Linked DNA regions of Arabidopsis thaliana. The protein of the gene in region 1 interacts with the protein of each later gene in a pairwise test. Each region holds a gene or a part of one and is shown in the gene's direction. Other genes may lie near its edges.

Region 1 (5,614 bases):
GTATAATCCTAGTATGGGACCAGTACAGGCGGCGTTGGTTGATTATGTGGCTAATGGTGGTGGAGGAGGATACGAGAGGATCGTCGGAGCGGTTCTGGTGGAGAAAGAAGATGCGGTGGTGAGGCAAGAGCACACGGCGAGGTTGTTATTAGAGACTATATCGCCGAAATGCGAATTCAAAGTGTTTCATTGCTATGAAGCTTAGAGAATCATTTAATTATCCGAAAAATAAAGGAATTTTAAAAAAAAAGGAATAAAAAGAAAATGAGACTTTTTAATTCTTAAAAGTGTTGAAATTGACGGAAAAAAAAAAAGTGTTGAAATTGATGTGATGGATAACACATAGAGAATAAGAAAAGTTTATATTTTTAAATTTGTTAAAAATGTTTATTGTATTAAAAAATTAAATTTAATACAATTATTATGTTTATGGAGTATTGTTAAAAAAAAAATTGTTGATATTAAATTTTTCCATTTTTTGATATTTTTTTTTAATATCCCCTTTGAAAATTTAATTTCGTCTATAAGGGATGGATTATGTGGATTAGATCAAATCGGCCAAATTTTATAAAATTGACAAGGTTTTCAAAAGTCTCAAATCGAATCAATGATTTTTTTTTTTACATGTCAAGTTATGATGTTTCTTTTATGTACGCAAAAAGGCAAAAATAAATGAACGTAATGATGGCTTTACACATTGAATTTGTTGGAATAAAGGTTCCAAATACGAAGTATGAGAAAGTAGAGAATATAAGATGGTCCACATGCAACTCTTACTATGAGTGGTGAACAATGAATCTAAAGATTTTTAGATTAGTTTCAAATGGAATGCTTTTTAAATAAAATGATATATAAGAGCATATTTTAGTAGGAACCTTCATACCAAAAATAAAGTAGGAACCTTAAAAACCTCTCAAGTTTCTCGTTATCTTCAACTTTTAGCATTACACATAAATACTAATCCTGGATTGACTTCTCTCAACTCAAAATTTCTATTAATTGTGTGTTCAAGAATAAAATATATTGATAATTATATGATTAGCGTGATTTTTATTTATTTATTTATCATGTACATGTAGTAGAGGCCTTTGCTAACTATGAAAGAAGGGGAATATCAATGGGAATATATAGAAGTGTGAAAGTATAAATCACATTTGGAAACAAGTGATTTATTTGATCAGTTAATTACTTTTGACAAGTTGATTATATTCATTTCTTCGAGTTTTTGGCAACTTGTTGAGTTATATGCATGGTATAAATTGATTTCATGTCCCTTCAAGAAAGTTCCTCACGTCACCATCGGGCTAAGAAGACATATTTACATACAGATGTCAACATTACGGACGATTACATGAACTTAAAAAACCTTAAAGCAAATTAATCATGATCTATAAAACGATTATATGAACTTAAAAACTCTAAAAAAAATTCATGATCAGTACCACCGATTACAGGAACTTTAAAATCCTTCCAACACTAATGATATTTTCAAATCCTTTACAAATAAATTTTCAAACATTTTAATGATTGTATTTCATATGGGCCTTAAATGGCCCAACTAACATATGTCAATAAGTCTAATACCAGAAAAGACTAGTACGTAGTAACAATTTAGTTAATTACCAAACGCCGTCGTTTTTCTCAACTCCGTTATTTCCTTTTTTTTCCTGGCGACTTATTTGATTTCGTGTCTCTCTCAAAGAATAAGGAAGACGCAGACGAAGAAGGTGACAATGGCGTACGTTAGTATGGGTGAAGCTCACCGGAGAATCACTGAATACCTAAACCGATTCTGCGACGCCGTTTCGTACCAAGACTCTTCTACACTTTGCCGTCTCCTCTCTTTCTCTTCCAATTCTCCACCTCTTCTCTCACTCGCCGACGCACTCAACGTCTTCCAGGTACATATATTCTCTGTTAAATCGAGACCCATGATTCAAATTAGCAGCTTGGAGTATGTTCCTGTGATTAGTGGCATGATCCTTGTAAATTGGTAAAGTTAGGTTCGATTTCAAATCCAGGATGCTTCTGATATGTTCCGATTGGGTTCTCGTATGAATTGTGAACACTAGGAGCATGGTTTTTATGTTAGCAAAGTTTGTAACTTTTAGGTTAAATCGATTCAATGTAAGATCCTTAAGAGTATGATTTTCTAATTGGGTCCTCCTACTTCACCAATGAGTATGAATTTCTGAATTTAGGGCTCAAAACACTAGGAACATTATCTTTATGTTAGCAAAGTGTGTATCTTTTAGGTTCAATCAATGTCAATCTAGGATCCTCCTACTTCACTAATGAGTATGATTTTCCAATTGGGTCCTCCTGCTTCACCAATGAGTATGAATTTAGGCCGTGAAAGTGTCTCCTATTGAGTTGTTGTAGTGAACACTCTATGTCTATGTTTGAGTTTATGAGTATGGATTTTAGATTTAGGGTTTTTATTTATATGTAGAGAGCTGTGAAAGTGCTGAATCCTTTGAGTTTTCTTTTCTTTGACTGATACAGGATTCTAGCAGTTTGATTAGACAGTCTGATAGATTCTCTGAATATGGCGAGATTCTGGCTCATGTGTTTCGTTCTCTACAAAGTTACCGAGTTGGGAATCTAGTCGAAGCATACCTTGCTTTCGATAAGTTTGCCAAGTAAAGTCTTCTTGTTCCTCTCTGCTCCTCTATTGATGTCTAATATGATTTCAGGGTGATAAGCTTTTTTTTTTGTCTGTTCACAATGTCTGATATCTGATGGATTCTATATGTGCAGTGCATTTGTTCAGGAGTTTCGTAATTGGGAATCTGCTTGGGCATTGGAAGCTCTGTATGTAGTTTGTTATGAAATTCGAGTTCTTGCGGAAAAGGTAGTATCTCATTTGTATATCCCTTTTTCAAAATCTTAACCTTGTCTGGTTTCATTGTGTCGAGGAGTCAGTTCTGAAAGCATGATTTTTCCACATGGAATTGCAGGCTGATAAAGATTTAACTTCTAATGGAAAGTCTCCAGAGAAATTAAAAGCAGCTGGGTCTCTTCTCATGAAAGTTTTTGGAGTTCTTGCTGTAAGTTTTCCCTTTGATCTATCTATATATCTTCAGGAATATTAGTTTATATTTGTGTTCAATATTTTTTCCGGCTCCTTATGTAGTTTTAAACTATAGGGGAAAGGTCCAAAACGAGTCGGAGCATTATATGTGACTTGCCAATTGTTCAAGACCTACTTTAAGGTGATATGCTTTCTGGCAACAGTTTGATATTTATGATTTAACCATTAAATGGAGTACTAAACAGGTATCCCCAATTTTGTATTTTAGCTTGGAACCGTCAATCTTTGTCGAAGTGTAATAAGAAGTATCGAAACTGCTCGGATATTTGACTTTGAGGAGTTTCCAAGAAGAGATAAGGTCTGGCGCAGTTCTCTGCAAACAGTTTTAGTTTTTGGCCTCCTTATTCGGTTACTTATTATCTTCTGTTTATTCTTCGCAAACACCAGGTTACATACATGTATTATACCGGCCGATTAGAAGTCTTCAACGAAAATTTTCCTGCTGTGAGTCACTAAGAGATTTTTTCTTACCATCACAGTTCATTTCGTAGTGTCAATCCAAATATTGATAGTAACATTTAATCTCTTTTTTTGGATCTTGCAGGCTGATACAAAGCTATCATATGCCTTGCAAAATTGCAACCCCAAAAGAGAACGAAATATAAGGTCTGATTCTGGTTTTACTCTGTGATTACCTTACTCTTGCATTGCGTTGCTTAATCAGCTAATGTGGCCTTATGTGAATCAGGATGATATTAAAGTATTTGGTACCGGTGAAGCTTTCTTTAGGAATTATACCAAAAGATGAGCTCCTGCGAAATTATAATCTGCATGAGGTAACGACTTTTCTGTTGTTCTATAAAATTTTCTTCGAATCTATGTCAAAACTTATTTCGCATCTGCTGAGTGATATCATATCTCTCTTAATCCTATTTCTCTACGTGTCCAGTACACAAAGATTGTGCAAGCTCTGAGAAAGGGTGATCTAAGGCTTCTCCGGCATGCTCTTCAAGAACATGAAGATCGGTATGTATTTCTTTCGATATCTTGCTTTTCTCATCTAATCCAAATGATAGAGTCCTTGTGGATACTCTAGAGCATGAGTATTGGAATTAGTATAGGCTGCTTGTAGTGGATTATATAGCTCTGCTGACAGGTCAGTAACACCTGGTTCTTAGGTAGAGAGCTAACAGGTTAAAAGAAAATTGGGGCAGAAAGAGTTGGGATGTTCTGGATTTGTCTAGGGGTTAGGATTTGCAGTTGGGTCGAGAGTAGAGTTGTGCAAGTCTCTATATGATGAGTATTTTGATTCTATCACCGAACAACTTAATATCTCGATCTAATACTCTTCTTTTATACAGGTTCTTGAGGTCGGGTGTGTATCTTGTCTTGGAAAAGCTAGAGCTCCAAGTCTACCAGAGACTCATGAAGAAAATGTAAGCAAAGACAAGCTATGATACCATCCAAGATTCTTGAGTTTATAACTCTTATTATTATCAATGTTTCAGTTATATAAACCAGAAGCTGAGTGATCCAGCGAGAGCTCACCAGCTGAAGCTTGAAGGGATTGCCAAAGCACTAAGATGGCTAGATATGGACATGGATCTGGACGAGGTTTGTTCTACAATACCATCCCATTCATTGCTTTTGACTTCTTCTAAAATTGAAATCTTCTATAAACTCACAGTTGTCAAAATAATACTGTATTTGCAGGTGGAATGTATAATGACGATATTGATATACAAAAACCTTGTGAAAGGTTATTTAGCTCACAAGAGCAAAGTGGTAGTTCTAAGCAAGCAAGATCCTTTCCCTAAACTAAACGGGAAGCCTGTTAGCTCATAAGTCTTCACGTGTTATTTTTTTTGTTGTATCAACAAACACTTTTTATTTTCTAATTGTGTGTAAAATTCATTCAAACAAAAAACAAAAACTGTTTTTACAATAGAAATGTGACTTTAAAACTGTGGAGTTTTCACCATGGTTGAGGAGTCTACTTACGAGTAAGGTCCAAATTTCCACTGAATATCGACATGAGAAGAATAAGTGATTACGAGTTTTAGTTTAGCAAAAAAAAGAAAAAGTGATTACGAGTCTCATTCGTATCTCCACAGAAAAATGCAATTTGATCTTTGGCGAGAGTTCCAGTTCCATACTTCCATTACCTTATTCTTTTTACATCAATAGGGGGCCTCATTGTTTTCTTCTCTACGATTACCACCTGAAGCAAAAAGACGATGAAGCCAACGAAGATCGTGATTCCGAACCGCCGCAACGAGAAGCTCGTGGGTCTGCTTCACGAAACTGGATCAAAAGAAGTTGTGGTCTTATGCCATGGCTTTAGATCGGACAAGACCAACAAGATTCTCAAAAACGTGGCTACAGCTTTGGAGAAAGAAAAAATCAGCTCTTTTCGTTTCGATTTCTCTGGTAACGGAGATAGTGAAGGAACTTTCTATTATGGTAACTTCAACAGTGAAGCAGAGGATGATCTGCATTACGTTATTCAACACTTGTCCTCCTCTAACATCATGAACCGTCTAGTTCCTGTCATTCTTGGTCATAGTAAAGGTGGTGATG
Region 2 (4,852 bases), on another chromosome or scaffold:
GAAATTGGTGGTATTGTCTGAAAAACAACAAACCTGTGCATCGGGGAAAACAGTTTCTCCACCCTTTGTGACATTGGACAGATACAAGAGAACCGTTGCTATGCGGTGTCCACCACGGGCAATGTTGACTTTGTCGTGGAAGTAGTCAAAGTGAGCATCATATTTCTGACCGTGCTCATATCTCAATACCTGAAGGTCTTCCCCGTTTTCTGTGACCACAAAGTGAAGAACTTAGGAAACAATAATATCTTCTGAAAAACCCTTTCAAGAAACTCAACAACAGTTAAGGTTCCTTGTCAATTGACATTGTGAAACAGAGAGACCACTATTGAAAAACCATTCAGATTGTTAAAGTTACCTTTTGGGAGAAATGTCCATGTTGAGAGCTTGTCCTCGATACCGGAAACAATAGGATCCTGTCATTAAACAAACGAAGCTTCACATTAAGATTGTAATCACACTGAGATATCTAAATTTCTCAAATCTGTTCCTAATAATCACTAAGTATCATTCATCATCCTTCATCCATACACAGAAGTAAATTTATGTCTAGCTATCACCCTAAAACCTTTTTAGTAGTAAACAACAATCACAAATCAACACAATTTGGGGTCAATTTACTAAGATCTCGACTTATCAACATCATTTTATCAAACTCTGATGACCAGTTCAATATGTGTGTGAACTTTTGGATTGAATTATTCTAAAATTTCTATTTCCATCAGATCTTGAGGGGTTTGACTTATCAGATCCATTAGTATCAGAAATCACATCAGAGATTCAGAGTTCTTGAGGTCGAGTGTCATAAATTAGAATCAAGATCAATTCCAATCAAGCCATTCAATGAGATCTGATGTGCCGAATTAAAATTGCACCTTTCCTTTGGAGATAAAAGTGCCGGAGCTGGTACGAACATCACTGACTTGACTCTCGCCATTATCGTTATCAGCAACCGCAGATCTCTGCAGATTCTCTTTCGCCTTTCCCCAAAAAAAAAAAAACCAAAATTAGATACTGAAACTAGCACATTTAAGCCAAAAAGTTTCCAAATTTGAGCTCAAACCCAAAGAGCAAAATTCGCACTCACAAGAGAGATTAGATGATCACATTCCAAGTCCGTCAAAAAACCTTCATACACAAATGCCCTGAAGAAACAGTCAATACACACAGTTGGAGGTTCAAAGTTTCCAAATTTGCTTCATTTCTCACTAAATAGACAAGAGAAAGAGTAAAATCAAACCTGGGCTTCGACGAAACCTGTTTGACTTTAGAAGGATTGATGATAGAACTTGGAGAACTAATCAGACAAGTGGAAGACTGAAGCAAGACGAGCAATATAGCGACGAACAACAACAATCCGAGCCGAGACATCGACATTATAGCAATCGTAGTAATTTCTTGGATCCAGATGATCGAGATCGAAAACTAGAGGATAATTTTATTTATTTTTTCTCGGAAAATAAAGAGGGAAAAAAAATGTCAACGGTCATGAAAAGTTGATGTTCTACCTAAAACAAGGAGGCTCAAGGGAGATGGTGACAACATGCGCACGTTCTTCTTGGTTGAACAATTATTCTTGTTCCTTGACCAAAGCCCATAATAAGCCTATTGTTACTTAAAAGGCCCAACATAAAATTCGGAAATAAAAACGACGTCGTTGGTTTTAAACGTAAAATAATCCTCGCCGGACGGAAGAGGCGTCACCAGAACAGAAAATTCAATTTGCTCCGGTTTCGACTTTAGCCGGCGACGTAATTAAACGAAGGTTGAAGGAGAATTAGAAGAGAGGCAGCGATAATCAAGTCAAGGAATTTTCTCAGAGAATGGCGTTTAGGCCTTTCGGGAAGGACTTAGGTCCGATGAGCTCTAAGCCAGCGCCGTTTACACCGTTCGGTGCTTCTTCAACCACTAGGTGTGCTCTTCATTCTCTATAGATGTATCTATGCTTCAATCGGACTTTTCTTCGAGTTTTGAGATTTTTAGGATTCATTTCACGCTATGGATCTATTATACTCAGAGATTTTTTTGAACTGTCAAATTTACATATATGCTATCGTTGTATTAAAGTGTTTAGGATCATGAGAATGAGAGAAGTATCTTGAATTTTCTATGATATTGTGTTCTATATCACTTAGGCAGTCGGGTTTTGCTTCTTCATCTTCCTTAGGAGAAGCTGCGAGTTGCTTTACTTTGCTTTTTGTTCTTAGATTGTACCTTTCTTTTTTATTCTTACACACTGCGAATGTTGGATTTGCTTGTAGTGATTCATCAATTCAACCACCGGCGTCTCAAAACCATTCAGCCTTTGCAGGACAATCTTTTGGACCTGGTGGAATTCGAAGGTTAGATTAACCTTAGCTCTACAGCTTTGATTTCTTTCTATGCGAGTATGTTAGGTTGTTTCTGAGCCTCCATAGGAAGAGCCTATTGTGCTACTTGTTGTAGTTTTCTTTCGTAAATTCGCTCAGTTTTCTTTCGTAACTTTGGCTTGTAGTGGTCCTTCAATTCAGCGAGCACCACCTCTGTCGGCTTCTCAAAACCCTCAGCTCTCTATAGGGAAACCTTACCGACCAGGTGGGGTTCAAAGGTTAGACATTCTTAATCGTATGGCTTGCTTTTATTCCTTTTCTCTTTCAGTTCTATGTGTCTAATGATGATGTTAGGTTGGTTACTTATTCAATTATTAATTTTTCAGTCTACTCTCGGGTTTTCTTCTTCTTTAGATTCTAGCCTAAGTTATTATGGTTTTTGCTTGCAGTGTTCCTCCAATTAATAGAATACCATCTCCGTCGGCTTTTCAAAATCCATCACCCTCCTCAGGACAACCTTACCAACCTGGTGGAATTCAAAGGTCAGATAACTTACTATTATGGCTCTCTTTTTTTTTTTTCACTCCTTATACCTGTAAAGGATCTTCGGGAACCCAAAACAGTGAAGATGGGATAAACCAAATTTTCTGTTTTCTTTGGCTTTGATTCTTTTTGTAAAACTTCTGCTTGAATCTTCTATATGTTGCACTAATTTTTACGCCGAGAAAGTTATAAGAACACTTTGATGCTATGTTTTTCAGGATCCCAGAACCTTTCAATGGAATAGCATGGGGTCCAGAAGCTTCACGTACAAGCCCCTCTGTGAGACCTTACCAATTTCCTGGAGTTCAGAGGTAAAAGTGTACGTGACATATTTTGACTAAGAAGAGTGTCATTACTCATATGCGGCTGTGTTAATCACACATCTCAAATGCTTTCAGTTTCTGCAATTGAAATTATAGCAGTAGGAAGAAAGTAGAGTGTGGCGGAGTGCTATAAGTTTCTCTGCCTAATACATAAGGGCTTACTATGGCAGCGGCTTTGAAGCTCTAAAGAGATCATTATCGCTGGATTTGGCTTATAGCCTTTAATAAGCAAGCTGCTGGATTTTTCTTAACGACTTAGCTGAATTTACCTGCTTCATTTTTCCTCACAGGCCTAATTTAAATCCTCAATATGGGCACGATGGATCAAGGAATTTCTTGAAAGATCATGGTGAACATAGTCGAGCCACGTCTCCACCTGCTACATCTCACATTCTTTCCAGAATGGGAACTGATGCTGTTGAGATTGGTCGATCACAAGATTCAAAAAGAAAAAGGTCGTTTATGCCATTTCCTTTAGATCAAGGTCATTTATGCCAGCAGGATCTTTCTGAAATAAACATTCTGTCTGTTTTGTATCCCTATCTTATCCTTAACCTTTTAACATCTGTCCTTGTGGGAGTTTACACCTTCCTTGTTCTGCATCATGTATCTTACTCTTTCAGATTTTATCAGTTTGTTGTGTGGCCTAGGTGGTATGAATGAGATGTCATAGACATGGCCATGGTGTTTACTGATATCCTGGTTTTTTTGATGTAACTAATATCGGTCTATAAAATTCTCAATTTTTGTTGCAGTCGGTCAGATATTCTTCCTGACCAGAATATGGGGTTTTCTCGAAGAAATCAATCGCCAGTATCAGGTTTTGAGAATGGAAACTTGGTAGATGGTTTTCAGCCACTTTCTAGCCGAACTTGGATGTGAGCTTTTTATCCTCTTGTCAGTGTCATAATGTTTTCGTTTCTCATTCTCTTTTCGCTGTTGGTTTTGATTGGTTTTAAAAAGGTCATAAAATATTTCATTTTGTGGTGTCTTTACTCTTTGTGGATAATGATTTGAACCATACCTGTGTCTTTGCTCCTTGATCTTTATACTAATTTATTGTTCTATCCTCTCACTAACTTTTGAAACTTATTTCCTGGAACCTTTTCTCATGTTTGTGTAGGCGCTCTCCGTCTTCTGCGGAGAATAATCCGGTGAGGTCGAGGAGCAATCCCAATCAGTTGATTCATCAAGAACAAACCGGAAACTCGTCATTCCCCTATGCACATGAAGTAGCTGAAATTCAGGAAGCTACTAGAAGAAAGTCTTCGGCTGTAGCACCTTCTGATAAACCCCTTGGAGATGACCCCATATTGTCTCAACATGACTCTCAAAGGTAGACAGCATGAATCTCATCGTACATTCTAAAGCTTATTATGTTTTATTCACCCACTCTGTGCCATACGTGTACGTATGAATGGCAGGAGAAATCACGATTATAGAATAGAGTTACAATCCTAAGAAACTTTATCGTTAGCAAATCGGCTTAAGAAACTTTATCTTTAGCAAATCGGCTTATGAGCGTATTCACCTTAAACTTAGATGGTTGCTTGGAAATTTTTCTGCTACTAGCCTTTGAAGTCATGCTTACTTCTCCTGCAGCTTTATCTTAATGCTATTGCAACAAATCTACTTTTCTCTATCTGGTTTGATGTGCCTTTGAGCTTCCTCCTAGTT

Evidence for each region. Proteins that work in one complex are often made in the same cells at the same time.
Region 2: the proteins of EER5 (region 1) and SAC3B interact in a two-hybrid assay, tested with the Arabidopsis thaliana proteins (one study listed by BioGRID).

The regions. Positions count from the first base shown.
Region 1 is NC_003071.7:8,465,189-8,470,802, reverse strand, and holds EER5 (proteasome family protein), read left to right. Parts: upstream 1-1,657; 5' UTR 1,658-1,733; coding exon 1,734-1,901; intron 1,902-2,505; coding exon 2,506-2,642; intron 2,643-2,731; exon of another isoform or gene 2,732-2,752; coding exon of another isoform or gene 2,753-2,760; coding exon 2,761-2,854; intron 2,855-2,960; coding exon 2,961-3,050; intron 3,051-3,149; coding exon 3,150-3,215; intron 3,216-3,302; coding exon 3,303-3,392; intron 3,393-3,481; coding exon 3,482-3,538; intron 3,539-3,638; coding exon 3,639-3,700; intron 3,701-3,782; coding exon 3,783-3,870; intron 3,871-3,983; coding exon 3,984-4,060; intron 4,061-4,395; coding exon 4,396-4,470; intron 4,471-4,542; coding exon 4,543-4,648; intron 4,649-4,747; coding exon 4,748-4,879; 3' UTR 4,880-5,113; downstream 5,114-5,614. Other genes in the region: CDA1 (cytidine deaminase 1), read left to right, coding at 1-205; AT2G19550 (alpha/beta-Hydrolases superfamily protein), read left to right, coding at 5,272-5,614. UniProt on the Arabidopsis thaliana protein: Involved in the regulation of ethylene response. Probable TREX-2 component required for nuclear RNA export.
Region 2 is NC_003074.8:1,904,269-1,909,120, reverse strand, and holds the start of SAC3B (SAC3/GANP/Nin1/mts3/eIF-3 p25 family), read left to right. Parts: upstream 1-1,823; coding exon 1,824-1,912; intron 1,913-2,207; coding exon 2,208-2,342; intron 2,343-2,494; coding exon 2,495-2,587; intron 2,588-2,758; coding exon 2,759-2,851; intron 2,852-3,070; coding exon 3,071-3,163; intron 3,164-3,423; exon of another isoform or gene 3,424-3,465; coding exon 3,466-3,630; intron 3,631-3,930; coding exon 3,931-4,053; intron 4,054-4,298; coding exon 4,299-4,511; intron 4,512-4,852. Other genes in the region: P4H2 (P4H), read right to left, coding at 34-209, 359-416, 876-980, 1,088-1,145, 1,241-1,377. UniProt on the Arabidopsis thaliana protein: Component of the TREX-2 complex (transcription and export complex 2), a muliprotein complex that functions in docking export-competent ribonucleoprotein particles (mRNPs) to the nuclear entrance of the nuclear pore complex (nuclear basket).